4 linked regions of the Coturnix japonica genome follow. The protein of the gene in region 1 interacts with the protein of each later gene in a pairwise test. Links are inferred from orthologs where the notes say so. Each region holds a gene or a part of one and is shown in the gene's direction. Other genes may lie near its edges. The genes, in order: RUFY1, RAB39B, UTP25 and RAB3IP.

Evidence for each region.
Region 2: the proteins of RUFY1 (region 1) and RAB39B interact in binary tests that used the Homo sapiens proteins (3 or more experiments, as listed by UniProt). The two-hybrid records come from large-scale screens. The link is inferred for Coturnix japonica from reciprocal best matches to the Homo sapiens genes RUFY1 and RAB39B.
Region 3: the proteins of RUFY1 (region 1) and UTP25 interact in binary tests that used the Homo sapiens proteins (3 or more experiments, as listed by UniProt). The link is inferred for Coturnix japonica from reciprocal best matches to the Homo sapiens genes RUFY1 and UTP25.
Region 4: the proteins of RUFY1 (region 1) and RAB3IP interact in binary tests that used the Homo sapiens proteins (3 or more experiments, as listed by UniProt). The two-hybrid records come from large-scale screens. The link is inferred for Coturnix japonica from reciprocal best matches to the Homo sapiens genes RUFY1 and RAB3IP.

Annotation. Positions count from the first base shown.
Region 1 is NC_029528.1:4,495,010-4,502,432, forward strand, and holds the end of RUFY1 (RUN and FYVE domain-containing protein 1), read left to right. Parts: coding exon 1-22; intron 23-648; coding exon 649-816; intron 817-1,647; coding exon 1,648-1,745; intron 1,746-2,205; coding exon 2,206-2,325; intron 2,326-2,829; coding exon 2,830-2,959; intron 2,960-3,335; coding exon 3,336-3,430; intron 3,431-3,563; coding exon 3,564-3,612; intron 3,613-3,814; coding exon 3,815-3,892; intron 3,893-4,534; coding exon 4,535-4,678; 3' UTR 4,679-5,224; downstream 5,225-7,423. Other genes in the region: HNRNPH1 (heterogeneous nuclear ribonucleoprotein H), read right to left, coding at 6,363-6,487, 6,978-7,070, 7,305-7,373. UniProt on the Homo sapiens protein: Activating adapter involved in cargo sorting from early/recycling endosomes. Regulates retrieval of proteins from endosomes to the trans-Golgi network through interaction with the dynein-dynactin complex.
Region 2 is NC_029519.1:13,299,609-13,305,814, forward strand, and holds the end of RAB39B (ras-related protein Rab-39B), read left to right. Parts: intron 1-2,407; coding exon 2,408-2,834; 3' UTR 2,835-3,933; coding exon of another isoform or gene 3,934-3,944; 3' UTR 3,945-4,816; coding exon of another isoform or gene 4,817-4,824; 3' UTR 4,825-6,028; downstream 6,029-6,206. UniProt on the Homo sapiens protein: The small GTPases Rab are key regulators of intracellular membrane trafficking, from the formation of transport vesicles to their fusion with membranes.
Region 3 is NC_029518.1:20,190,817-20,198,862, reverse strand, and holds the start of UTP25 (digestive organ expansion factor homolog), read left to right. Parts: upstream 1-2,664; 5' UTR 2,665-4,310; coding exon 4,311-4,411; intron 4,412-5,562; coding exon 5,563-5,602; intron 5,603-6,523; coding exon 6,524-6,773; intron 6,774-7,570; coding exon 7,571-7,786; intron 7,787-8,046. Other genes in the region: MRPS10 (28S ribosomal protein S10, mitochondrial), read left to right, coding at 313-452, 877-985, 1,994-2,083, 2,345-2,431. UniProt on the Homo sapiens protein: Component of the ribosomal small subunit processome for the biogenesis of ribosomes, functions in pre-ribosomal RNA (pre-rRNA) processing. Essential for embryonic development in part through the regulation of p53 pathway.
Region 4 is NC_029516.1:32,273,291-32,280,795, forward strand, and holds part of RAB3IP (rab-3A-interacting protein), read left to right. Parts: intron 1-2,321; coding exon 2,322-2,450; intron 2,451-4,680; coding exon 4,681-4,793; intron 4,794-7,505. UniProt on the Homo sapiens protein: Guanine nucleotide exchange factor (GEF) which may activate RAB8A and RAB8B. Promotes the exchange of GDP to GTP, converting inactive GDP-bound Rab proteins into their active GTP-bound form.

The DNA of each region.
Region 1 (7,423 bases):
AGAAGAAAAAAAAGTTAGGCTGGTAAGGAAACTAACCTTCCATTTTACTACAACCTGTAGGTTCAGCACTGCCTGCTCTGAGCTGGAATTATGAGCATATGATGTATGCTGTGCACTTCTCTAAACTATTCAGAATTCATGATGGATTTAGAAAGAAGATGTTGCTCACAGGTCATTTACGGTGTCAGTAAAGAACTGGGAATCTGGGTCTTTCCCTGTTTAACAGCGTACCAGGATTATTAGAGCAAAGACTTAAGAACACAGAGAAAGGCAGCTGTCTTTATGGAGTGCCAGCAGTCACTTTCACAGTTACCTGCAAAGCAGTGACTGGTGAAATGAATGCCAAGGCCTGCGAGTTTGTGTTGTTAAGTCAAGCCAATTCCAGCTTGCAGGAGATGGGATAGCTGAGATGCAGCGCACCAAGCTCTACATCTTAGGGCAAGAGCTCAGATCTGCTGCCATGATTTGGAGAGCTGAAATAGTCTTTAGCTCCTTCTAACATACTGTATTGAGACCTAACCTTTCTGTAACACTGTAGGTCTGTACCTAAGAGAGGAATGCAGAATTTCTGTCTGGTTTTACATGGGTTTGGGGAATACTTCTCCCTGGTGTGATTACCTCCCAGTAATTAGGAAATCTCTTTGTAAGGAACTGGAGAAAGAACTGGAGCTACAGATTGGAATGAAAACAGAAATGGAAATAGCCATGAAACTTCTGGAAAAAGATACTCATGAAAAACAAGATACGTTGGTTGCACTTCGCCAACAGTTAGAAGAAGTGAAAGCAATTAATTTGCAGATGTTTCACAAGTCCCAGGTATGTGCATAGCAGAGAGCAGAGCAGCTGCAGCGATGGCCTTGATGTGATGGTAATGTACGTGGTGTGCATCTGCAGTTATAGCTGCATCCATTTTCTTGGGAGTATCTATTTTAGAAGTTGCTTGGTTTCCTTTTTGTCCAAGTTTTGGTACTAATACGAGATTGGGTGTTTTTGGAATTAAGGACTTTCCTTGAGCTGAGCCATGTGCTGCAGATCATCCAAGAAATGTTATGGAGAAACACAGAGCTCTGGCAGGGAGGGAAGCTGCTTTTGAGGGTCTTTGTTCTGACCACCAGAAGAGCAGGCTCTCAAAAACACAGTTGCTTCCTGCAGCCCAGAACTGCCCTGTTGCTGCTTCCCTTTGTGTCAGCCTGCCTCTCAGTTGCACCACATTTAACAGTGCTTACCAAAAGAACAGCAACTTTCACTAAACCGACAGAAAGCCAAGGCTTTTTGTTGGTGGTTTGTGACAGTTTCTTTTTCTTCCCTGCTATACAATGCCCTTTAAGTCCAGCTTTTGCACAATAGTAACGTAAATGGTAACATTGAAATATACCATGACACTTTCTTTGGACTCCTTAAGAGAAGATTTCTGGCTTGTAGCTGATCTCTTAAGTTAAAATGTTGTTGTAAACAAGTTCCTTGTTCTGAACTCTTAACAGAGCAGTTGAGGAGTGTCTGCTCTGCCATTACCAGCATTTTGTTTGTACACTGCAGTTAAACCTGGGCACGGTTTGTCACAAACTGAACAGGCTTTATGTAGCGACTGCCTGACCTCAGGAAACTACCAAGTATTGTCTGCAATATCCCACTGCTTTATTCCTGCAGAACGCAGAGTCTTCTTTACAACAGAAAACAGAAACAATATCTTCTTTTGAAGGAAAAACGAGCGAGATGATGTCTGCTATGAAACAAATGGAAGAGAGGTAATAATTAGAAGCTCAATACCATTGGTCAGCAGAAGGGTTCTGGCTGAGATCATTATAGAATGGCTTTGTATTTCTCAGTATAACACTCTCAAACATCTCCTACAGACACCTGGGCATACGTGCCAGCACAGTGCTCTGCTTCCTTTTCCCCCTATTACTGCTCTTCCTGCCTGTCTGTTCCCTGTGCCCAAGCAGACACGCACATCGTTGACTCAGCTGAAAATCACAGCTCTTATGTAGGCAGACTGTTTAAAAACTGTGTTCACATTGCTTTAAGCACAGGTGTGGCTTCTGTGTTTTACAGAAACAGCTTTCTAGGAGTTCTCTTTTCTCTGCTGGTACCTTCAGTTCTACTCTCTGTGAAGATCTACATTAAAAATGGGACAGAACAAAATGCCAGTGAATAGATGAGGAGAATGTGAGTTGTCAGCAAATCTGTGTGTTCCTTACTTTGCAGATTGCAGCATGCAGAAAAGGCAAGGCAGGCTGCAGAGGAAAGATGCAACAAGATGAAGCAGGAGCTCGCCAGCAGACTTGGCACCTGTCAGCAACAGATGTCCCAGCTGGATGGCAAATGGTATTGCACTGGTATTTCATCTCATCGCTCTCCCTTTTTTTATTACTATTTTCCTTCATTTCTGCTATTTGGTTAAGAAGTGCTCTCAGTGCTCAGCTGTGCAGGCTTAGTGTATCATCCTCAGGAATCGGGATTTGGTGTTCTTATCCTCTTAGGCTTGTAATACCTAAAATGTTTTGTTTGCTGTTTGCACTTAGTGTCATTTCAGACGTGGCCATTGAAACACAAATAGTTAATCAGACATTTGTGGAGATGGTGGTGTTGCTTCTTTTTGCCCTTCTGGCTATTCACCATTTTTACTGCTTGTTTTCTGTAATCTCTAAACACTACTATGGGCTGGTTTTGTCTGCTGCTGTAACACCTCTGTTCTTTCCTTTGCCAGAATACTGATGTAGGTTTTGTCCTCTTTAGGCCAAGTTTTCTTCTCATACTGTTGATATCAATAAATACCATGGGATGATTTTCTGCTCTAGAGTTCCTCTGAATCCATTATTTTTTAAATAGCTCAACTCTGGAAAAGGAATTAAAAGCTGAAAAGGAACAGAGGCAGACTTTGCAAAGAGAACTGCACCGAGAGAAGGACGCTGCCACTCTGCTTAAAGCAGAACTGGAACAAATGGAAGGACTGAAAAAGGTACACATGGTGCAGACATGTCCAGTGCTCAGAATTAAAGCTGACTTGAAACGATGTTCAAGCACTGAGAACAAATGAGTTGGATGGGCTTTTCACTGCGTTTGTGGGCATAGAACTGCTGCATTCTGGCTGTGCTCAAGGGTGGTTAAAGCCTGAAAATCTTCCCTTTCTTTCTGGTAAATATTGTTAAATGATTTCATTGTTTTCACTCTGCAGGAATCCATGGGTGGTTCCCCCATCTAAAGCTAAAAATGAACCCTTAGAAATAAGCAGCTTTGTGAAGAAGTTTATGCTTGTGAATTGTTTTGGTGTTTTGCATAGTGTGCTGCAGGTCACACTTAGCACCCAAACTTGATTTCTGTGTTTGATTTTACAGGAGCTGAGAAAACTGCAAGAGGAGAAGCAGCAGCTGGAGAAAGTCTGCGAGGAGCAGGAACAAGCTCTGCAAGAAATGGGGCTTCATCTCAGCCAGTGAGTTCTGGGAGCTCAGCTGGGGGTGGCGTGACTGGGAGCACGGGGATTCAAATGAATTACAAAGAAGTTTAAAATGCATCACTTGTAAAAATAAATAGACATGAGGATTTCTTCTTTTTTTCCCCCCCAGATCTAAGTTGAAGATGGAAGACATTAAAGAAGTAAACAAAGCACTAAAGGTACTCTATTATTTTGTGGATATTTGGGCTTAAACATGCAATTCACTTAACACCTTCAGTGCTCCCCACAGATAACTCTTATTTTATCCTACATTAAAAAGATGGCTTTTGGAAAAAGAATTACAAACAATGTGGATAAATTGCTTCCAAGCCTTATGACTGTACTTACCTCTAACATGAGCCCTTTGCTCCCATTTCTCAGGGTCACACCTGGCTGAAAGATGACGAAGCAACACACTGCAAGCAGTGCGAAAAGGAGTTCTCTATCTCAAGAAGAAAGGTAACATTGTTCACTGCATTTCTTCTTTTTCTCTCGGGAAAGAGAAGTTGTGCTGTTGTATTGTTTGCTGACTCTGCCTCAGTCTAAGAACTTGTGGGTGTGGTAACTGAACAGGTAACTAACCATCCTAAGAACAGCATGTCTTCTTGTCTGCTTGGGGGCTCTCCTTGGCTGGAGGCTGCTGTGGGTTATGTTCTCCTGCAGTGTGATTTGTCCTCATTCCCTGCTGAGTTCAGTGTGAGGACTGGCAGCTGACAGGCCGAGCTCAGTGCCTTGCAGTTGCAGGGGATGAGGACAGTTGTGTGTACCTGCAGGAACAGGGCAGGGCCCACCTGCCAGAGGTGCCAGAGCAGCTGATGGGCAGCAGGGCAGCTCCGATGGCTGGGCCAGCTCAGGCTGAGAGCAGCTCGTGGCAGCTGGAAAGTTGAGCTGCATATGGACCATGCTGCTTTGAGTTGATTTCTCTGCAGAGAAGGGAATGGCGCTGTAAGGGGTGGGCTTACGGAACGTGAGGATGAGATTAGTGGACCCTTAAGGCTTTGGCCATACCTCCTCGGTACCATTCATTTGTAGGCAGTTGTCCTACAAATTCTACAAATTACTACAAATTACAATACTCTTACTTAAGCTCTCTGCTCGTAGCATCACTGCAGAAACTGTGGGGACATCTTCTGCAACTCCTGTTCCAGCAACGAGCTCGCACTGCCCTCCTATCCCAAACCTGTCCGTGTCTGTGATACCTGTCACACCTTATTACTGCAGCGGTGCTCATCCAATTCCTCCTAAGCCTTTGGTAACCTCAGAGGGACCAACTCAGCACTGGAAAAGTAGCCATCACTATTCTGAACTCCAGGCGCCTTTGCAGCAGGGTCTGCTCTGTTCTCCATCGTTGGGACGGGTCGGTATCAAAGAATGGTGGGGGCAATGCAAGTGGAATAACTCTAATTGTATTACCTGAGCTCCATTCAAGTTCTATTTGAAACTAAAACGCAAATCCATTTGCTGATTTTTTTATACACAAGATATTTGTATTAATATTTGTATATGGGATTTCTAGTCACTCCATCCCTCTAGAAGTTACTTCTCTGTACATTAACTTCAGTCCCTCTGTATCCTCACTGTAGGCATTCCTGTTACGATGGCTAACGTACAGTTCTGTATTTGAGCTAAGAAAAGGAATGTTCACTTACTGTCTATGGAAAGAGCTTTATGCGTGTCCATGAATGTGCCTTCCGTATAATTCAGAATAAAAATCACACCCGAACACTGGTTCTGGAGGTAGCTGTGAGCACAGTGTGGTAGCTGCACAATAAAAGCCTTTTGCAGAAAGAATCCCTCCGCTCTGGTTTTTTTAACACCACATCAGCGTTGTAAGGTCTAAATGCACAGAACCAGCTGCCCTGCCACGTCACTAGGCTCCAACTGTTCATAAAACCACATCTTTAAGCATGGCATTTGTTTGACAAATTGATTTATTGAAACACGGCTGCACTAAGCTGCAAAGTCCATTGATCCGGCACTTTGGCTCCAAAGCATCGATGCCTGTAGCTACACACAGCGTTATCCCCCAGCCCTCATTTGCAACTTCACAACCACGTTATGCAGCCAACATCAGGCTGTCACACTGCAGCCCCACAACAGGAAGCACCTTCCTTCACTAACTCTGCTTTTGGCCGAGAAACAATTGTCACTTAACACCCACACGGCCACACAGTTCCACTCCTCCAGCCTGAAAGTCACAGAGCAGCACAAGGACTGACTACAAAGCAGCACTGGCACATCTCAAGGCAGAAGTTCAAGAAGAAATGAGTTCCAGTTTTTAAAAGGAAGATTTATTTAACAAGTTTCACTTAGCGCAATACACCTAAAAAGGAAATCACGATACAATGAAAGATTAAATCAAGGCCTCAGAATTGTATACGAACACCAAGACCCAAATCCTAACGTAGCCGTATTGCGTCTCAACACGTTTCCCCCATTAACTTAAAAAAAAAGCTTTAACGTGCCTTACAGGGTATTAAAAGAAATAAACTAGAACTAACATGCCAAATGTTCACTTGGAATCTCAGACACAGCTCCTATATCGTTTCTTTACAAAAAAAGCATGTTTTCTCCAACATGTATTCAAAACAGTGTCAGATGTAATATGGTATAAGAGCAACATTTAACATAATTCAAACAGCTTTAACCTAAATACGCTTACTGCTTAAATACACTCCTACAACAAAACTAACTTGAGAAACGCTCCGAGTTGTTTAACAGTTATAGTCTCTGCTCAACGGGGTTATTACGTCCTAGAGGAAAGTTCATTCTGTATGTTCAAAAATACCCAACCTGAAAGGTTTAAAATAACAATCCTGATTTCACTTACAGTAAAGCATAAATCACAAGCTCGTATTGCAAAACTGTTAAACTTAGTTTTTTGTTTTTTTGTTTTTTAAAAAAGATTTGACCAAAAGTCAGCCATTGGTTACATTCCCCAGCCACCGCTCATGTTGGACATGTTGGACATCCCTCCCATGCCGTTCACTCCCATGGACGCGCGGTTCCCGCTGCTGTAGTAACTGCTGTTCATGGCGCCCTGACTCCCTGGGTCTGGGGTGGAAACCAAACAGCACGTTACAAAGGCTGCAGCCATCAGCTCTCACAGCACCTGGCTGTGAACATCTCTGCTCAGTACTGAGAACTGCAGCTTAAAGCACCTCCAAAATCCCATCGGTTTGCTCCATGAGCCAGCACTTGCCCTCCCAATTTCCAAGGGCCCCAGCATTTTCTGTGACCCTTCTGTGCAGAGAACCCATTCCCCCCATGTACTCCCTCCCCTCCAATTCAATCTGGTGCATTTACACCAGGCGAATCTCCAGTACCCACAGCAGAGTTAAGCATTCCCCATGCACTTTGGAACTGATTTAGCAAGCTTCTCCTCAGCACTCAATTTATCCCTGCTTTCAATTTATCCCCCCCTTGTTCTCAATTCATTGAGGAATGTGCAGCCCCCTCCCCACAGCTGCCCGCAAACACTAATGAGCAGGGCCTCATGCTGGTGCTGGCTGTGGTCCCACAGCCCGTTAACAGATGGACTTACCGTATCCACTCATGCTGCTCTGCCCACCATATCCGCCTCCGTAACCCCCGCTCAGCTGCTGGTTAGCTGGGCCACCATAGCTGGATTGGCTTCCTTTCAAGGAGAGGATACAAACATTACAAACTGGGCAGTCTACAAGTCTGCCTGTTACCAACAGTCCTACCCTACCCTACTACAGACACAGCACTACACCCATACAGATACCCAGCTCCCTTCAAAGAAACCCCAAAACACCACCCGCCTTGTTAAGGTCTAAGAAACCAGAAAAGCAAGGTATAAAGAAGAGTGTAGGTGCATTACAGCAACAGAGCATCATGCAAGACTTACCTGCCAACGTGCTAGTGTTCCAATCCTGAACCACCCCTTCGGATTCCTTGACTGCATTAAGATATAATGCTGCATTTCAGATTTATGCCAGTCACTGAAGCAGAAGCTGAGCAAAATTA
Region 2 (6,206 bases), on another chromosome or scaffold:
TGTGCTCGCTGCTCGCACAGGGGCGGGCTTTATCCCGGGGCCAGAAGCCGCCGCTTTATTAACGCTGGGTGAGAGGAGACAGCACGGCACTCGGTTGCATCAGATCCCTAAAGGCGGCTGTGTGCCATCCCTTGTACCTTGCCTCTCGCTTGTACCCTGCTGCGAGGAGGGGGGGCTGTTGGATGCCTTTGGTTTCCCATCTCTAAAATGGGGGGAAGTCTGGAGCCCTGGGGGCTGCTTGTTGTTCTTGCTGTTGCCTGAACCTGCATGTAGACGTAGTGACGGGCGACCTTCAGCACAAGGGCAGCGGTGCTCAGCAGCAGCAGCGTGAGGGGCAGGAGGGTCTTTGGCACCATGGTGCTGGCAGCTCCTGGGCTGCCCCTGAAGGATGTTCAGGGTAAAAGGCAACGTGCTGCTATCAGGGGGCTAAGCTGGAGTTGTGGGTGCAGGCAAGAAGCACAGCGGGGCATGTGCTCTTTGCAGAGCCCTTCACACTTATTTATCACAGTGCAGGGAGTTTCTTAGGAAGGAACTCCGCTATTTCATTGAGTTCTCCATTTTGAGCATTTACAGCTGCTTTGCACTAGTTCCCAGCTGTCTCACGAGGAGGAAAGCGCTGCCATTGCCTGGAAGACACCACGGTGGTATCTGCTGCTCTGCATCTGTGCTGCAGTTTTGCTCTTCCTGACTGTTGTTGTGAGTTCTCTCACTCTCTGGCAATGAGAAGCTATTCCTGTGCAGTCAGGGCTTCATCTGCAGTTAAGCACGTGCCTCTGTTTTGTCACCAGCCCCCAAATGATGCTCTTTGGGTCAGCATTGAGGCTGTTTTGGAGTTGTAGAACAGCAGGGTTCTGTTCTTCCCGGATCCAGCAGGTTGTGCCCATCGCAGGTTGCTCAAATACTCCAGTTTCTTGCCTGAAACATGCCGTAATGTTAACAAAAGCAAAAGTGTGTGCAGCCCTCCCTGTCTGGGAACATGTGCCAGCACCTACAGAAGAGCTGAGCAGGGTCTCAAAGGGAATTGGGCAGTGAGGTGCAGAGGGAGGCGGCGTATCTTGCTTTCTGCACATCAGTAAAGAGATGTTGTGTGGAAGAGGCTTTAAGGAAAGGCACCCAGACCTTCACCCAGTTTTGCCTCAGCGCAGAGCTCTGTTCAGATCCTGTCACATCTCTCAGAAGTACCTGAGGCGCTGCTGGTGCTGGCAGGAGCAGCCGGGGTTGTTGTGCTGGTGCACGGGAGAAGCAGAAGTGCCTGTGACAGCATGGGGAGCAATTCAGAGTGCTGCCATGTCTGCAGCTGGAGAGCAAACAGTAGAGCTGATTCTCTTGTTCCCAAATGTGCAGAGCTGTTCTTGTCCCGGGGCCAGTAACCAGAGAGGGAAAGTTAGCCGAGCCAGCTCTGCTTTTTTTCTTTCCTTCCTTCCTTTTCTTTCTTTTTCTTTAGCTGGATTTTCACCCATCACTGCGTGACTTTTGATAAAGCAAACCTTGAAAACGCCAGAGAGTCCTTTCTGGGGGTAGCACAATAACCTCTAACAACAGATGTTCATAGTGGAGGAAGAGTCGTCCCAAGCTAGAAGTAGCAGTGCTTTTCCCAGCAAGAAAAAGTGCAGGTCCCTGTGTAAGTTCCTTCAGGGACTGAAATCAACGAGTGCTTCTGGATGTAGAACTATTCCATGACTCTGCACAAACAGCACAGTTTTACAGCTTCTTGTTTATTTCCACGTGTAGTAGCTCTGCTCAGTTTTGTGTTCTCTGCAGAGCTTTGTTGGCTGACTTCATGTGCTGCTCAGGCTGCCTCAGTCTGTGGGGAACGCTTTCCATTTCTCAGCCTGAGGGTCTGCGGGACCTTCTGGGGGCTTTTTAGGGGCACAGCTCCATCTTCTGCCTTCTGACCTGTGCCCTCCCTCTTTGCCTTTTATGTATCTGCCAGGAGGTGTTTGGCTTTAGGTAAATCCTTTGAGCTGTTACAGTGCTTCTAAACCAGTGGGGCAGTCAAACCACATGGAGTACTGAGTTGGTGTGGTGGGGCCTCGTTAGGCCAATGGCAAAGAGAATATGGAAATCTGTGATAGAGAAGCCAGAATTGGTGGCGGAGTAATAACAGATCCACAATGCAGCGACCCGGGGATGGAGTTTTACGCCAGGATTAGTTGTGTTTGTGAATGACAAGATGTGCAGAGCACAAGTCAAAACTGCGAGATGTGACTGAGCAGCATTCTCTGTCCTATGTACAGGATAGGCAGGGTGGCAGGAATGCTGCCTTCTATAGCAAAGTGCTACATTGGGATTAAGGAAAAAGAATCAAAAAAGCAAGCAGGAAAAAAAGCAAAAAGTGAAAGTTGCTGTGCCCTTCCTCCCAAATAGCAGGGACTTCCACGTTTGCTTTGGATGGTTTTTTTTCCAGGTCCATCACCAGAGCCTACTACAGGAACTCGGTCGGTGGACTCCTCCTGTTTGACATTACAAACCGCAGGTCCTTCCAGAACGTCCACGAGTGGTTAGAAGAGACCAAGGTGCACGTCCAGCCCTACCAGATCGTCTTTGTTTTGGTGGGTCACAAGTGTGACCTTGACACGCAGCGGCAAGTCACCAGGCACGAGGCTGAGAAACTGGCTGCTGCTTATGGTATGAAGTACATTGAGACCTCCGCTCGGGATGCCATTAACGTGGAGAAGGCCTTCACTGATCTGACTCGAGATATATACGAGCTTGTTAAAAGGGGGGAAATTTCGATCCAGGAGGGATGGGAAGGGGTAAAGAGTGGGTTTGTCCCAAATGTAGTGCACTCTTCAGAAGAAGTGGTGAAATCAGATAGGAGGTGCTTGTGCTGAGCTCGTCTAGAGAGAGAAGTGGTGATGAACTCTACTAACCAAACGTACTTTACTAAGTGAACTCAGTGTGCCAGAAGGGAGAGCAACGCTCCCGTTGTGAACGGCCTCCCACAGTTTTTTGGACACGAGAACAGACCCAGGGAATAAATGTTCTGTTCCATACAACTTTTCAGAACTGGGGGCTGCAAACCTAACAGAGTGAGTGAGGGTGCATGTAGATTTTGTAACGAGACCGCAAGCAGAAGCGAGGGACAGCAGAAGGGGGCGGAGCACACAATGAGATCTGAATGGGCTTGGATGTGCCACAGTGCTGTACGTGTCCTGTTCTAAGCCAATCTATAGTGCCGTGCTGTGTGCTAAAGCCACAGTATGGATAGTGCTGTAGTACAACAAGCAGCAGAGAGAAAGAAAAAGGACATCCGAGTTTGCATCAACTGCTTAATACCAGGAAGGTGTAAAGGCAGCATGGGTACCATTTCCTCCTAAGGCCAGTGGCATAGGAAAAGTTTCCTGATGTGGTATGCATACTTCTGAATTGTTTTTCTTACATTCTTGAACCTAGTTCAATAGTAGAGTATTCTGTGGCATTTTAAGAGGATAATAGTACTCATTTGATTGGTCATTACAATTTAAATGATCTCCCCAGGTGTTTTTCATGCTGTCAGCTGGGATTCTGAGTGGCATCGCCTGCTGCATTAGTCATTATTCAATGCATTTTTTCAATATTTGCTGCCTCACCGTGTACCTCAGTGTACCCCAGGTCAGGGATTCCCAGTGTAATTAAGTGAATGGGAGCATAAACAGGAAACCTCGTACTCACCCGCTGTATCTGGAGGCTGGAGCTTGGCACCCAGGTGGGACACACCAACACCTGTCTGCTAACAGCACTGTGCTGACGTATTGGGTGCTCTGTTAGCTGGGGCCACAAGGAGGAATGGAACAGAATTGGGCAGGGCAGGGGAAACTTGAAAAGCTTAATTCAGGTGCATCCACAAGGTGAGATTTGCTTTTAAAGAAGCTGAATAGCATGGAAAGCAATGGCTTCCATCACTACTTTCTGCTGTTAAAGTGTCATTTTCTTTCTTGGCATCTGTGGAAGAAGAGAACTAGAACTGAGGAGGAGGAGCACAGAACAGAAGTGTGTGAGCAGGAGGAAAAGGAATAAGCCCCAAGACAAGCTCAAGAGTAAAACTGGTTTTCCTCCTTGTTTTAATTTGACAAGAGATGATCCGTATCAGGTTGGTCATTGCGGGTGGAAGCTGTTGTTAAAAAGGCTGTACGTGGGTGGCCATTTTCTGGGCATGCTTTGTTTCCTCTAAGTTTTAACCAGCTTTACAATTGCAGCAGGGTAACCTGTAGCAAAGTTCAACCTATTTAAAACAAACAGAAACAACAGTGACCATTTAACTCCAGTTTGTGAGCCCTACACACCGAGTTGATGGGCAGGAGGGAGTAGGTAAAACCACAGGAAGCACCTGGTGTTTGATTTTTAGGCCTCTATGTAGAACAAAAGATACTCGTTACAGCTTTTTTAAGCTACCTCCATATGGGATAGTGTGAGTCTTCAGTGGTGTTGAATTCAGACCGACTCCCCTGAGCCTCTTCTCATAGTTTGCAGCACTTGTGCTGGTCTGTATGAATTTAAAATGATTCCTGTATATAAAAAGAACCCACCCTGAAGATGGATTACAATTTCATTTGAGCACTTTTGGAACAGTTTCAGTTCCCCAGCACTGCAGGGAGCAGCAGTGTTGCAGCTGCTGGGAGGGCACTGGGAGCAAATGAGTGAGGGAGGGGTGGCACCGCTCTAGCACTTCTCATTGAGCTGCTCACTGCTGCAGAACTCGGCCCATCTAGAACAGGCTCTACCTGCACCGAGAGCGCTGTGCTGAGGCCCATCAGACTCCAGGCACACTCGGTGGTGGTCGAGCTGAGTAACATGAAGGTACAAAAAAGAAATCTCTTAAAAAATCTCTTTCTAGGTAAGTGAAGCTGGAGAAGATTGATGCAGAGCACCACAGGAGCTGGGCTACCATGGGCTCTCTACCTTCAGCTTCTGCTGACGCCGGTGGGGTGCACAAGGTTTGCTCAGACCGGGACTGCTAGTCCTGTTCTCACAAAGACGAGGGCAAACAGGTATGAAAGGGTCAGTTTTCTTCTTCTTTCTTTCTATTGAGGTCTGGCTATTCACAGGGTGTGGTTAGGTTGCCTTGCTGACCAGTGGCTGTCCTAAGGGCAGAGCCTGAGAGCTTCATTAAAGGCAGTTAGGACTGTAGAAAAGATCAGAGTTTTAGCAAGAGTAAAACCTGTGAGCTTGTGCAGGAAAAGCTCAGTTCTCACAAGACAGCTGCTATTTTATTGAATGGCTTTGGACATTCCGCTTCTCTCTCTCTGAGTCTTTCAGCTCCCAGAGAGGAATTCCAGGAAGCCCCAATAAGCACGTTATGTTCAGGCCTACAGAGCCAGTACTTGATTTATAAATACGTGTCATAATTCTGAAGAGAAACAGTACAGAAGGAAACGTATGCATTCCTAACTACTTAGAGGTAATAAATAAATGGTTATATGAAACGATAGAGAAATGGTTCTCTACATCTTTTTCTAACTCCTTGCATTTTTTTAGGCAGCTTATTAAAATATAGGAAATGTAGATTCGTCTGTACAAAACTGGGAATGTTTTTTCTAAGATGCAGAACTTACAGGATGTGCTGAGCATTCTTTTCTAACAACCGCTTTTAACGCTTTGACTTCTGGTGCAAAGAGGGCTGTAGAGAAATCAAAGGTCAGAACCTTTCACGGGACAAAGGTCAGGAGCTCTTTTACTCCAGGACAAAAAGAAACAAAGAGCTAACTTAAATCAATCTGCATGTTAGATTCTAATTGCTCTGAGCCTCCGGAATAAAAACATACTATACACTTTCCTCGCTTTCTGTTATGCACTGTAATGAACTGTGAAAATAATGCTGTATTTAGCTGTCTGTATGTGACTGGAAATATGCTTGTATTTAGCAAAATGGTTACTATGTGATACTGTGAAATGTAAAACTTGTAAAGAGACTGTTGGGTTTTTTTTCTCCCCCCTCCCTGCTCCTTATCAGTAAGCTGTCTCATACCTGTACCGCTTCTGTACAGCAGCCCTAACTGGAAATCTGGTATGGACCAGCTCTACAATAAACAGGATCTTTGCAATGGTACCTGCTGTACATTCTTCTATAACAGCCAATGGAGCACATCTGCAAAACCAGCAGGTTGGGGTGCTGAGAAAACCAGTGCAGCTGTAGGAATGGCAGCCATTCCAATACCAGCAGCGCCCTCCCTGCAGTAGCCAAAGGAGCCATAGCTCCCACTGGAGCCTCACAGCAGGCGGCATTT
Region 3 (8,046 bases), on another chromosome or scaffold:
TTTCTTGCCTTTGCAAGTGTTGCCCTTTTAGTTGGCGTTCCCTTTGCATTCTTGATTGAGAAATTTTGCCTGAATATTCAGAAGTCAGGTTTCCCTTTACACTTAGCAGGGACAGTAAGATGAAGGACTGTTGATTGAGATTAATACAGTTATCCTCTTGCAGGTAAATATCAAATGAGCAGTGAGAGATGTGCATGTGTATTTTTTTTCCTCTTTTACAAATGGGGCACATGGGCTAAGAAGATACGTAGTGACTGGGTTAATAAAGGAGAACATGGGGTGGTAACACTTGCCTTTTCTTAAAAAATACAGGTGTCTATTTCAGATGAACCAGAAATACTCTACCGGAGGCTGTCCCTTTTAGTTAAAGGCCACGATAAAGCTGTGTTGGACAGCTATGAGTATTTTGCAGTGCTGGCAGCTAAAGAACTTGGCATAACTGTTGAAAAAGTGTAAGTAACCAATCTGTAGCACGATGTGATGCTTCTTACATCATCTGCTGTAACTCTAGTTCCGCGCTTACAAGTATTTTCCTTTTGTAGAAGAAATGAGTTTAATCTGACATTCTTTCTCAAAATATAAATCTGACACTTCCCAGATGGTGGTGTGGGGATGAGAAAGCAGAAGCAGTGCTACTTGCAGTGCTGCCATAGTAGGATTGCATTGTAACTGCGTGAAAGACACCAGGAATATTCTTGTTACAGTCATCGGTGCTGCTGTAGTGTTAATGCTAAACTGTACCAGTACTTCATACTGCCTTGTGGATCTTCTAAATGTCAGATAAGAGCAGATTTCACTGTAATCTCAGATAATTTATATTAACATCATTTATGTAAAATTCAATATTACAACATTTTCTCTTTCTACTTTGTTCAGACACAGACCTCCAAAGACGATAGAACGACTTACACTGTTAAAATCTGTACACATTTACAAGAAGCACAGAGTTCAGTATGAAATGAGAACACATTACACCTGTTTGGAGGTAAGAAAGATGTAAAAGGAAGAAATATTGATTTAGGTAGTGCTGGGAATATAGTAAGAGAGAGCTGATGTAGGTACATCAAATGTAGCAGAAATTGTTCTGAATGTACAGTCCATCTAATTTCTGCCTATAAGGCTGATTTTGACAAGTATATGGAAGAATGATTTAAAAATAAGGTAGGTATCAGAGTTACCTTTATATATTTTATGCTCTCAATTTCTAATCTGTGGGATAAGAACTTTCTCAAGGAAGGGAAGATGCTGCAGGTAAGTTACAGTCATTGCTAGTCACTGAGCATTCTCTTCTCCATGAGTTTGCTTCATATTTTGAATGCTTTTGCCCTGTGCAGCATCATGTGACAAACTAAAACTGGAAGGGGAGAAATACCAGAAAGGAAGTGTGTACAAACCACTCGCTCTGTGGCTGGTGACGCAGACATATATATGGTCTAGAATGCAGCTGTGGTTGATTTTCTTAGAAGAAGTTTACTGCTGGCATTTTGTGGCCTCTAGGGTCTATTATGGTATAGTTGTGCTTAGTGAAATGTGTCTCTGCCCTCAGTGCTCAGACAGTAGAGCAGTGCCGATGGCTGCCCACAGACCATAAATACAACTTCTGCTTTCCAAGAGAAACTAGAATCAAGAACGTGGTAAAATTCTGGAGTTGGGGGATTGCTATCCAGTTTGAATGTTGAGGGGTATAGCAAATCTGAGAGTTCTTGCATAACACACAGTTTGATCTGATACTTGCAGTATTAAGGTCCATCATTTCTATCATAATCAATACGTATGAACACACAGTATATACAGTTCTGCATGAAGTTGCTGCTTTGTACTTGCATAAGATACATACTGCTTACCTGCCTGTGGTGAATTCTATGGGAGCTGGCCTAGTGTAAGATGCTTGGACCCACTGCAAAAACTAGAGAAGTCAGAGCAAACTCCTCCTTTTCTATATTCTGTTTGAAGTATTATCCTTCATTAATAAAACACATGACTTCTGTTTTAGTTAAAACACCTCACGGGCAGTACCGCTGCAGTGTACTTAGAGTATGTTGAACGAAACTTACCTGAAGGGGTTGCCATGGAAGTAAAAAAGGTAAGTTCCCATCTCATGTTCTTAACTGCTGTGAGATTAAATCCAGATGCAAGTACTAATAATTACTGAATTTGTTAGAAAGTCAGTATACACATGTAGTTGTAAAGACCATTTTGTGTTACTATTAAAAGGAGGATGTATTACTGAAAAACGTCACTAGGTGGCACTATTAATCCAATAAATATCTGAAACCAAAATAAAGCAAAGCAGTTAGATGTTGACTAGTTGATATAATAAATCGTTTCCTTCCTTCTGTACTAGACTAAGATAGAGAAAATACCTGAACACATCCAGGAGCCAGTTTGGGATACACTACCTCAAGCAGAAGAAACAGAAGTGAAATCATGAATTCACCAGGTATTTGGGTGTTGGTACTGGAACTAGTTGCTCCTATCAACCTCAATTACTAAGACAGTCTGATAAACTGATAAATAAATGTCCTGTTTTATAAAATAATCATGTATATTCTTGTTTTACTGAGTTATTCTTGATCGTAGCTCCAGAACTTGTAGACTGATGGAACATGTATGAAGTGAAGAAGCTTGACTGCACACTCTGATCAAAAATCGTGATCATCTGTAATGTTATTAGAAAGATAAAGCATATTCCTAAATAACCTAGATCTCCATTTGATAATGAGTGGCGTCTGAATTCTGAAATACTTAGAAAATCCTGCTGGCGTTAGTGTAATATTTAAGGTAAGGGATGCCAAACTGTTAGATGTTCTTTTGATAGCGCTGCTTTGAAATAAGTAAATCCCAGTTGCATATTCAGCTTGCATATTAACACGCAACAAGTCAGAGAATGCAATCTTAAGGAACACTGAGGCATGATGAGACTCTTCTATGCTCTTACAGTTCCAATAGCGTCACTTCCAGTATTAACTGTTTGCTAAAAGAACAACACATTGATTCCAGTACAAGTATCAGCTTTTTACAGGTTTAAGTCTAATTTTATTAAGTAGCTGTAAGACCACATTGCAAAGTAAATGGATACTAGAGAGCATCATTGTACATAGGACAAACAGTGTACTAAATACTTTATTTCATGGCACCACTCTTTCTAAAGTGGTGGGTTGGTTATTCAGTAAAGCTAGTCTAGCTGAACACTGGTTATGCTTAGAGGGAGAAAAACAGTACAGATAGCAAAAGGGTGTTCAGCTAACTTGAGGGTTACTTTGCTGTGAATCAAAAGAGACACTGCTAGATGCAGAACAGTCAGTGGCTTCAGACTGCATTAAGCACTTTGGCTTTACTAGGCTGGCAGTAGCACAGAGCTGTGGAAACCTATTTTGACTGTAATTTAACTACTGTTAAAGTAATTCACATAAATAATGCCTATGACCAGACAGCTAAAGAGCCTGGACCATACTTGCTGGCAGTACTTAAGCTCACATTCACTAAAGAAAAGAAGCTTAGTGTTATTATCAGACAGAAGTACACAGTTTTAATGGGAAATAGCTGAAAGATGAGAAGCCAAGTTTGTGCTTGAAGATCAGCTGTGTTTTCTAGTTGTAGAGAGGCCCAAAGCTGTTTTAGTGGGTGTTTCAAGACAGTAGAACTGATACCATTCATGACAGAGGGGAAGCTGCCTGAGCGTGTTCTGCAATATGCCCCAGAAAACAAAAAAAAAAAGTATTTAATCAAATCCCTTAGAAGGAGATATACTGCCTGGTTATCCCTTGAAACTATTTGCTATCCACAGTTTCCAGCTGCTCCTCCTTTTAGTAATAATAGCATTTCTTAAAATCATATCAGTTATATAACAGTAAGGAAGAAAGTATGTGCTGACCTGGTTAAATGATGCCCCAGAGGAGCAGCTTCTTTCAATTCTGTATGATATTTTCTTCAAATTCCTTCCAATTGACATGTCTTAGTTTTACATAAGCCACCTGCCAAATCCCGGCTGTATATAGTATCACAATGCGCTTGTGCTGGGCGCTAAGTCTTACACCTCCTAGTTGGATGCTCAGTAAGGTTAAAGGGCTGTCTTTTATTGTCTTTGCTGTTCTATTCTGGGCCTTCGGTTTCTGACTAAACGGCCGGTCAGTGTGGCTTTTCAGTTGGCTGAGTTTTAGTTATCAGCCCTTAATAGGATCAGGCTTAGGTAGGAGCTGAGGAAAACGTTAACCCACACAAGCAGCCGCACTCAGCACGCCGCCACACGGCAGTACGACAGTACGACAGCCGCCCTTGACGGCCGTACCGTAAAGCGCCTCGCTGCCGGCATGGGGAAGCGGCGTGGCGGCAGGGAGCTGGTGCGGGGCCTGAGCAAGAGGCAGAGGAAGCACCTGCGGCAGTTCGGGGAGCAGCACCCCGTGTGCGACCGGTGAGCGCTGCTGGATTGATGAGCTTTGCCCGCAGCACGTGTGTCTGTTGACCCCTCTCGGTGTGTCAGTGCTTAGTGCCCCGGGTAGGAGCCCGTGCTCCAGAGAGCAGCCCCCAGGAATTGAGGAGGGAGTTTAAAATGTTGCCCTTCATGACCGGGGAAATGGTTTTAAGTTAAAAGAGGGAAGATTTAGGTTGGATGTTACGGGGAAGTTCTTCGCTAGGAGAGTGGTTAGGTCCTGGAACAGGCTGCCCAGGGAGGTTGTGGATGCCCCGTCCTTGGAGGTGTTCAAGGCCAGGTTGGACGGGGCCCTGGGCAACCTGATCTAGTAAAGGTGTATGTTTGGTGGCCCTGCCAGGCAGGGGGGTTGGAACTACATGATCCTTTGAACAGTGAAGCAGGAAGCAGATGCTCCGCTAAAATTCGGAATAAAGGGGGGCTAAAAGGGGGATAGTTAAAGGTAGTTTATAGAAACAAGTAAAGGAAACTTAAAGGTAGTTCATAGAAATAAGTAAAGGAAACTTAAAGGTAACAAGTAAAAGAAACAAGGGGCCTAGGAGAGCAGAGAGGATGCAGAGAAGCAGTGAGACCTCATGGATGCCCAGAAGAGGAGTTGCATTCCCCCTGATAAGAACAAGAGGGGGTCTGCATGCTAAAGAACTATTGAATATGTATCAGAATTCCGAGAACTATTGACTATGTATTAGAATTCTGAGAAATCATTGACTATGTATTAAATGTACCTATATCTGTGTCACTATTTTACAAGTCGCTGTGCAAGTTTGGAGGAGCTATCCCCCTTGCACCCAGCGCTGTGCAACACTGGAATAAACATACCTGCTTTATAACCCATCTCTGGATTATAGAGTTTGATTCTGCAAGTCACCCTGAGGTCCCTTCCAACCCGGGTCATTCTGTGATTCTGTGATCGCATGCACCCGGGCTTCACACACAGGCTGCAGCATCAGCTCAGAGGATTTTGTCAGGGTGAGCCCTGACTCTTTCCTTAAGGAGAGCTGTGTGATGCTCTGCCTCTCAGTTCTCTTTCAACTGCTCTGAGGCTCAACAATTTCTTCCTTTTCTTATCTGTGTTTATTCTGTGCAAAATATCATTGACAGCAAGATATTTTTGTGTTTTTTTTTTTTCTCAGGGTTTCTGGAAGACCAGAAGCAACTCAAATATGTGAACTGGTAATATATTTTTATTTCTTCCTCACTTTACTTGTTGTATGGTTCAGCGAAGTGGAATGCTGTGCCTTTCTTGTTGTTCCTTTTAGAAAACCTGCTTTTAGAAGGAAAAAATGAATGATTTTTTTTGTGATTCCAAATTGTTCTGTATAGTGTCAAACTCGTAACTGCAACAACAAGAGACAACAGAAGAAACGGGATACAATATTGCTATTCTTGTTTGTCTTTTAATGCTACTTAGCCCTGGCAAAAAGTGAAACATGCTGTAAGTTATTTTATTAATACACAGTGGTGCTTGAGTTAGAGAATGAGATGCTTTGTTCTCTGCTGAATGAAGAAATGTTGATGCTCGTTTCTGTTCTTCAAATTACAGTGCTTCAGTTTTCTTTCAGTTAGGACTTGTGAACCTCCTTTGTCATCAGACCAGTTAAAGACTTCACAGTTGTAGTGTGGAAAAAGTAATGAATGACTCTTATCTGTTAAGCACTTTTTTATTTTTATTTTTTGCATTTATATTGCATTTACTGAGTTTTCGCTTTGTGCTGAAAGGAGCTAAGAAGGAATGGTGCTGTGATTGTAGTCCTGTTTTTGCTGTGATGTTGGCTGTAACCTGGCACATTGTTCTTAGGCCTGTTTGTCCACGAGAACAAATGTGTTCTCCAAGGCTGAAAGAAACTAATCTTGTGATGCTCTGAGTCAAATCAGTGCAGAAAAAACACCAGGACATGGGTCTGCCATGGTCCTTTCAGAATCTGTGTGGAAATGTTCAAGATAACTCTTCACATAGAATGGACATTAGGGGAAAATCTCATTGCATCTGCAAAGGGCTGGAATGACAAGAAGGAAATGTAGTATGGGAGCTGGAGCTGAGGGTGTTTGCTTGCTGTCTAATGGACTGCTGCTGTTAATTGTTTTCACATTTAGTCTGACAATTCTGATAAATCAAGTGCGGAAAGCGATTCAGAGACTGAGGTGGAACAAGTCTCTGTCTATCACAAGCTTCTGGCTACCCTGAAGGCATCTCCTGAGTCTGAGAGTGAGGAGGAGGAAGATGAAAGTGAATCAGAAGAAGCTGAGGAGAGTGAGGCAGAGCTGGACAGTGAAGGGTCCCAGGAGCCCAAAGAAGCTGTTGGAGATGAAGAAGAGCAGGATAATGTACCAGAGCAGGAAGAAGGTAGTTTCTTTTGCTATGCTTTGGCAATTATTGTTTCAGTTAGAAAGTTTGAATAATGTCTGGTTTTACCCCTGATCCTGGTGTACATGGGCTGGTTGGCTGGGTGCTCCTCTGGCTGGGAGACTGTTGCTCCATTGCGACTTTGTGATTATGAGTAGCAGCTGCTGGAGTATTTAGCAGGGCAAAGGGTAGCTGTGCTCATTTCCCAGCAGCCAGCCTGCTGCTTCTTCCTCAGATGTTTGTGCAGCAGCGCAGGGAGAATCCACATGGAGCAACATACCAGGGGTTCTCACCCACTTGCTGGGAGATACAAGCTGTTCTCTCACACAGCATCTGGCTTGGCTGCTGCCACTGAGCACAGAGAAAGGTTTGCCTTACAGCAGAGGAAAGAGTGTTTAGATTTTAAGGAAACCTCCTCCCATATGAGGAGACATCCTCATTCATGAAGTCCCCAAGTAGATTCTAGGATGACGGAGTCAACTCTTTGTTTTCTCAGTTGTTTAGGTTCTTTGGAAGCTAAAACTTGTATTCTCTGAATACATTTTTCCTTAAGTTTTCTCAGAGAAATTATGTTTTATATTATTTAACTTCTGGCATGTTAGACAAAGGTAGCTTAAAAAAAAAAAAAAAAAAAAAAAGCCCAACCCAAAAAAGGTAAAATACAAGGCCTATTCTTATCTTTTTGCGTAGGATTTTTGAAGGACAAAGTGAAACTCAGAACTGTTTGACACAGGCAGCCAGAAGTGGCTTTTGGTAATAGCTTTTCCAGGAGAATATAACACATTTCTCTCTCTAAGAAGTTGCAGCTAAAGACCCACCAGAACAGGCGCTTGGCCAGGAGCAGGCTAATGGGGCGGAAACTTCCTGTGACCCGAATCATGGAGCAGCTGAGGAGTTTACCGATGTGAAACATGAAGCTGAATTTAGCTTGGAAACCAATTTCATGGAAGAGGAGAGTGGAGACGGTGATGCAGACAAGACAGAGAGCAATTCTTCACAAGCCCTTTCAGAAGGTAAAAATAGTATTATTGTACGCTAGTGATCTGCCTCTTGAGTGTCTGTAAACATGTAAATTACCAAACTCTTTAATGAGATGCTGTATAGTTGCCAAGTTCTTTGGCTGCGCTATTTATTGTGTTGCCCACGTGTGAGCCTGTTACATAAGGGACATTTGGAGTTAACGCATGCATACAGCTGAACTGTTTGTTTCCTGTAGCTCATATGGGTGTGCATTTGTGCATGGTTTCTGCTGTAACTAGTAAGGCCCAAACCA
Region 4 (7,505 bases), on another chromosome or scaffold:
ATAACTAAATCTAATAACTAATTGTCACAAAGTGACAACAGGACAGAAAACAGTGTTGAAAATTATGCGAAGTTGCAACAGAAAAGCCCATTGAGGTACATACAAATACACATGATTTCTGGATCAGGAAGCTTATTTAATTACAAATTGCTAGAAGTTGGGAGAACATATAAGGAATGCACATGGCTATATTTCTTCTATGCTGTTTACAGGCAGCCCTCAGTCATTGCAGGTCATTAGAGAGACTGATGAGCTAACTAGACCTGTAATATGATTTACAATGGTCATTTTTATACTTTGTTTTGTCAGTCATCATTAAGTGAATTTATACTATCTGTCTTTTCATTAAAGATCTAGAGAAGGGATTGTTATGTTTCCAGTGATAAAATAAAATCCAACAACCCAAAATCCTGCTTACTTACTTTCAGTGGTATTCAGGATATTTTTCTTATTTAAATTGATCTTCTTGCTCTTCAGAAAGATTTAACAAAAAGGGGAGAACTGGCATGGAATCTAACTACTTTGTAAGCATCATATTGAGGATTTGACTAAATAAAGGTTTTAAATATTGGGCCAAGAGCATGAAGAGGGAAAAATCTGTTTTTGTTTCAATTTCCCATGGAAAGAAAGTGGTCAATGTGTAAAGGATAAACTGCAGGAAATCCATCCCAACAGTACCAACATCCCAGACAGATAGTTCCTATTATGCACGAGTAACCTCAAGGATAAGTGGATGTGTCTAACTAATTCAGAATTCATGAACAGGATTTAGATAAACTGAGCATCTATACCCAATGTAAAAGCTAAATGTGTCAGTTGATTTATGTTATTCTCCCAAAAGCTGAAGTGTTTCTCTGTTGCAGGTAATAAGAACTTGGATCTAGTGGAAGTGCAAGTAAAGACAGAGTGCAGATATACACATAGCACACTGTAGGTTGGAAAGAAGGAACATCAAGCTATAGTTATTGAGCAATTTTTTCAAGGCAGCTTTTTTTTTTTTTTTTTATAAATTGTATATTTGGGTGAAGTTTTGTTAGATGTAGAAAATAATCAGTAATTACTAAGAAATGCATTACCACTTGATTTCTGCTGTCTAGTTCTAAAATAGCGGGTTTTTTTCCTGCTGATGTCTCGTGGTTGTATTTATTTTAAAGCCAAACCTAGGTGGGTTTTAAGGTATAGGAAATGTTCATTCAGGGAGCAAGTTACACCTATTGAGTTTCATTTGTGCAGTGAGGTTGGTGGCTTAGCAACCAGAACAGTTATGGACTAGTTTAATTAAGATGGTTGTTCCTGATTGTACCTGAGTGCAAGACAAGTAGCTCTAATGGAAAACAAATTTGCCTGTCTAATTTTTGTGGGTTCTTTTTCAAGGAGGGAGGGGGAGGGGAAAAAAGCCATAAAAAATCTTCCTGAAATGTAAAAGAATGGTTAAGTGCTGGAAACTCAGAGAAGGGGTGGTAAAGAATAAAAGACCCAAAGAGGCTGGTTCAAAGCAGTGTATTGCTCTTTTAAAATGGATTAAAAAACAGTTTCAGCTCCTAGCGTATGTGTTCATTTTTTCATGCTCCTGTCTGTATTAGTTGCTTCTGATATTCCAAGACTTTCAAGTCACATTGGCTTTATGGAGATACATATTATGAAAGCAGTATTTATATGTCTAGTGTTTTCTTGAAAATGTTTTCTTCCAAAATACCGCTTTTCATTCTTGTTTGCTCTTTTTGCATTCACTTTGCTTCTCTTTGTACTCTGGAGTGGAGCAGCAACCTAAGAAGCCCGCAGAGGGAGCAGCATTAGGATCTGCTTCTCATTTTTCCACTTTAGTAACCTTTTTGTTTGTCTTCTGTGCTTTGGCTGCGCATTTAGTGTTTTTTTTTCTTTATTCTCCATGACTGCCTGCCATTTCTAGAGGCACTTTTTCTACATGACATTTTCTTCCTTTTGTTGCGTGGTCTTTGATGCCTCTAACCTTCCTGGCCTGTGTTTGGCCTGCAGTGTCTTTCCCTTCATTGTATTCCCTTTTGGTTTTAGGAATACAAACCTATTACAATACAAGAATAGGATTTAACAGCCAGTTGGAGTGAAAAGGTGCTGAAGTCTGTGTCAACAATCTCAAAGCCAGTTTGGCTAAATCAAGGTGGTACCACGCATCTTGGGAAAGTGAGTTGAAGGTGTTTGTTGCTGGGATATAATAGTATTCTTCTACAGCGTGGTAGAAAACTGAGTTTTAATGATCACTGTTTACCTGTGGATACCTGTAGATGGCCAGTTGCTAGTGTGATAATTACAGTATTTAAAATCTGCGACTCTGTGTGTTTTAGGCTGACCTGTCTTTGTACAATGAATTCAGATCATGGAAGGATGAGCCTACTATGGACAGAACATGCCCATTCTTGGACAAAATCTATCGGGAAGATATTTTTCCATGTTTAACCTTCTCAAAAAGTGAGGTATGTACTCTTAAGTGTTGTCACTGATGCTTTTTATTTAAATATGTTACATGGAACCAGTAGACTATCTTAATTTACGTATGAAGTTCAAACATTTTTGTTTCACCGGAGTATGAAAGTTTACAGTGAAATACCCAAGTTTGGTCTGGAGTATTGAAGTGATCAGTTTTTCTTTTCCATTTCCTATTTTAGATGTGGCTTTCTTAGGTGGAGGCTGTCTACCTCTTTCTGTGTTAATACTGCCTATCAGAGTAAGTGTTTGTAGGAAGGAGTGATGAGTTTTCCCCTAAGTCAGAGGTCCCATATAGTAGAAACCGTGTCTTGTCACTGGCCCTTGTTTATTCAGGAAGCAATACAAACCAACATACCTATTTTTATGGACCTGTTTTCTCTGATTAATCAGAACAGGTGTCTTCTTGAAGAGAGGTTTGTGTTGCAAGAATTAGACTTTAGGATTTGAAGTAATTTATCATGGACAGTTTGGAGATGTAATTTAAGATAAAACAAACAATGCGGCTTTTTTCTTTGTGTTATTTTTCCATTTCTTCTTCCTTCCTGGTACAGAGGAAGTAATGGCGTTGTACTCATGCTGGAAATACTATGGAACTGATTCCAGCTGCAGTTCAGTATCTGGTCTTTGTTCTTAAGCAGCGTTTGTTGGCTATAGTTGCAGTATCCGTCTCCAGGGGAAGAGGAGACAGCATTGCATATCTTGATTAAGACTAACAAATTTTAAAGCTCTCAGACTTGATTTCCCTCCCGTCCCCAATTAAATTAAGTAAGTCACATAGGAAAAGTGGTATATTTTCCTCAAATTTGTCTCTTATTTTCACACGGTGTGTGCACTTTTCCCATGTTCTTCACTTGCTGTTACCTGCTGGCGATAAGTATGAGAGATCTTGTAGTTAATTGTATGGTAGTTCATTGTGATTGGTGTAGAGCATTGTATGAAACTCTCCTACTAAGGTGTTTGCTCACTTACTATGGGAATTTAAATTACTTCTGCACTGTGTGTAAGTAGGCCATCCTGTTGTCTTTCCCAGCAGCTTGGTTTTGTTTTCTTCCACTTCGGTGGCAATACAGTTACTGTATTTGTATTTCCTCTTAAGGAGAGAGTAAGGCTTCTAGCACAGGTCAGCTGTACAAGTCAGTGTGTGCAAATGCTGTACACAGTGAGGTGCTTTCCTTTGAATATCAATGAGCTGCTATGTAGTTAATAAGTGACATGTATTATGTTTTTGAATAATTGAAAATGCAGTTATCTAAATGGTTGAAGTAATACTTCAACTCTTTGTAGCCACTTGTGTATGTGTGTAGCTTTCTGCTTTGCTTTTAGCACATAATATTGGGAAGAATATTTTGTGTGAAGCACTTTTGTAGTAACATTTTAATTATGAAATGTTCAAAGTACAATAGAAATATTTTTCTATTACTCAGTAGCAAAGGAACGTGGACAAAGAATTATTAAATAAAATAAATAGCACCTTATTTTAAATCAAGTAATGACTACTACTTGTCCATACTTAAACACTAATCTTGGACAACTGTTGAGTTCAGTCAAGCAAAATGAGCATATTTCTAGTGTGTTTATAAAGAAATAACATAAAAAAGCCTGAGGGAAGTTACACTTCCTTTATGAAGGTGATATTTTAACAAAACTAGTGTTCTGAAGTTACCATAACCTGTTGTCTCTTTTATATGTTGATCAATCTTACATGTTTGAATGTCTTTCTAAAGTAATTTTTGCCTGAGAAATAGGTGAATATTTACTTTGTTTTACAAGTTACAGAAGTTGCCTGCTGTTTTTTGTTTTGTTTTGTTTTTTTCTCCCCTTTTCCTGCAGAATACAATAAAACAAGAGCAATTTTTTAAATACACAAAGTTTGAGCCATGTTCAGTATCTGGTAAAATCACTGTGTAAATGTGTGTCCTGCTCAGATGTATGAGGAATAACTGAATATGTACTTAGCATGCTAACCATACATTCCCTGCTGTAGAGGCAGTCAGCTTGCCTGAGGGCTGGGTAGGGTTATTTGGAGGGCAGAATTTAAACTGAAGCCTAGGAATTCTTGTGTATGAAGCAAGCAAAATCTTATTTGTGATTGAATTTGTGTTTTGTTAGTTGACTTCTTCAGTGTTCCTAACTTAAGAGAGACAGAAATGTGTCACTGCATTGTGGCTGTGGATCACATGGAGCTGTTTTTAACTGCTTTCTACATTTCTCTTGCAGTTGGCCTCAGCTGTTCTGGAAGCTGTTGAAAACAACACTCTGAGCATTGAACCTGTCGGCTTGCAACCTGTTCGATTTGTGAAAGCTTCGGCAGTTGAATGTGGGGGACCAAAGTATGTTAAGCTAACAGACAGAGGGGAAATCTGGACTCATTTGAGATAACTGTATTCTCAATACCAGAGTTATTAACTGATCACCTCATTGAAATTTGTGCATGTTATACTTGTAAACATTTATTAAAATATCAGACTTCAGGACTGCTGCAAAATTTTTATGGGGGAAGTAAGCAACTAATAATGCAAATGTAAAAGGTTTGTTTTATATTAACCTTTTTAAAGATAATTCCCTTTTATTTGTAAAAGAAGCATTCTCTTCCTTGGAGAGGATCAGTCTGATTCTTAAGGCAGATTTCTGAACTAGGGGCTGTCACTTGTTCAAGAAAAAGGTATAGAAGTAGTGTGGGATCAACATCAGAGAGCTAGAGTTATTTGTGGGATAAGAAACCTAAGAAGTACAGAGCATACAGAGCATACTCACAAAGGCAGCTGAAGTATTTGAGAGGAGGTATGTAAAGTAAACCCTCTGAATGTGAGCAGAAGGAATGTAGTGAAGAGGGAGTAAAGGTGAGGGTGAGTTTGAACATAAGGAAATGTGGTTGAATGGCAAGATGATTGCTTTAGAAAGTTTGGGATGGTCCTAGAGGAATCTGAAGCAAGTCTTATATGTTAGATACTGATGTAGTTGTTAAGGTAAAGTGAGAGAGACTTGCCTGAGGCTCTGGGGCTCTGAATGTGAAGAGGAAGGGATTTGTAGTGTGCTTTAGAGTATGTCACGGTTAAGCAAGTAAGGCCAGTAATCACAGTCCTGAGGTAACCACAGTCACCTACAGAATCACAAGGTTGGAAAGGACCTATAAGATCATCTATAGGAAGTCTTGACTTCTTGCCTAAAAGATGTTTAGCAGAGTTAATATTTCTCTGTAATATTTTTTTTGTTGTTGTTAGAGCTCAGTTTTCTGGTAGAGAACTTGAATCAGAATGTGAATATCAGGATCAACATAAGTTTTTTTTTTTCCTCATTGCTGCTGTTTTTCAATTCTCATTTTTCCTCATCAGTTTTGAGTGGCAGAGAACATACACTTAACGTGTCAAAAGGAGTTTTTGCTTTCTCTCTAAAGAGGCTGTATTGCATTCTCCAATGTAATCCTTCAGTAGTTGGCTGGGTAGGAATTAACTTCTTGAGATGTCTCTGCAGAAAATGTAATTTAGTTACATTAGGTATGTTGAATGTCAAGATTTACTCTTTCCTCTCTTCTACAACTGTCACGAGGTGACAAAAACTTCTGTATGATTGCTTGTGGTTAAGTAATAGGTAAGGAATATGCAGTATGTAAACTTAATTTGACAGCAAATGTACTTTGCCTTAAATATTACTGGCACTGGATGGGAAGCAGCTGTTTCACTTTTCACTTAATCAGAGTAGCAGCTTTGCATTTTCTGTTTTTATGTGGTGAAAATCACTGTTTTTATTGAAACCATGTCCTTTAATAGGTAACGTAATACAGACAAGCAGCATAAATAAATAATAACAGTAACTGGAATAATACCCCTAAAGGAATAATGTTATTGCCCAGTTGCCTGGGGGACGGGAAGAACGGATGCATAAACTAGTGGGTAATAACCCTACAACAAAACAAGGAGTGGAGGTCAGGGAGCTGTGATATAGTAAAGAAAGGTTCCTGACATACAAAAGTTACTGAATGGTGCCAGTGGTGGTGTGTAGTAATGAAATACAGCTGAGTTTCCCCACAGGATTCAAGTAATTGTCCCCATGGGGAACAAAGCACTAAGCTGCATGTGTGCTGTACAGTGCAGAACTGAGTCATTAGTAATAGCTGTCATTCCAGCATTTAACCTGGTGTGATGGCAACACACTGTATAGAAGGTAAATCTATTGCTGGAAGAAGAAAGAGGGCTTTTTTTCTTGGCACTAAAAATCTATTTGCTCACAAAGGCTTGACTGCATTTGTGATCAGCCTGCTTCAGCTACTATAGAATTTCTTGGATCAATGTCAGTCCTTATAAATTACTGTGGAAAATCATATACACTCTTCAGTTTTCTCCTGTCTTGCACGGTTCTGTGGACCAGCTGCAGACTATTAAAGGGGCTTGTAGGCCGCTATTGAGACTGTGTGAGCTTAGTAATTTTTCTTTCACTTTTGAAAGGTGGCTGCTTCTTAAGACTCCCTAATTTTGTGAGATAGAGATGGGAGGAAATCTAGAAGCTTTTGAAGTCAGTGGAACAGAAGATACCTGACAAGCCAGTTCATCTGGGATGCTGTGATATAGAAATTCCAAATCAAATTCCTGCTGTGTTGACATTTATTAAGACAGTATTAATAGCGGCTTCCTCTTCAAGAGAGATGTAAAACTTTTTTTCTAAATAATACTGGAAGAGTTATTTGGAATTGAAGAATTTCTGACTACTGACCTTCCTTCGTTCATGTATTATCATACGTGAACAGTATTATTTGCAGTACACCAGGAAAAAGTAAACGTAATTATTTTGCCATCACTTTCTGTAATGGTAATGGAAGGAGTTATTACAGGCAACCTGTTTTCCTTCACCTCAAGTTCTTTTATACTCTGAATGAAAAAATGTGATTTCACTTTGGGCATAAATACAAAGCTGATCTTAGAATGCATCTGACAGAGGCTTTGTGCATTGACTGTTATTCTTTGGGGCTTGTGTTTTTTTTCTTGGTATGCATTTTAAATGTTGGGATCTGCTGATCATTCAAACAACGCTTATTCCACATATAGAGT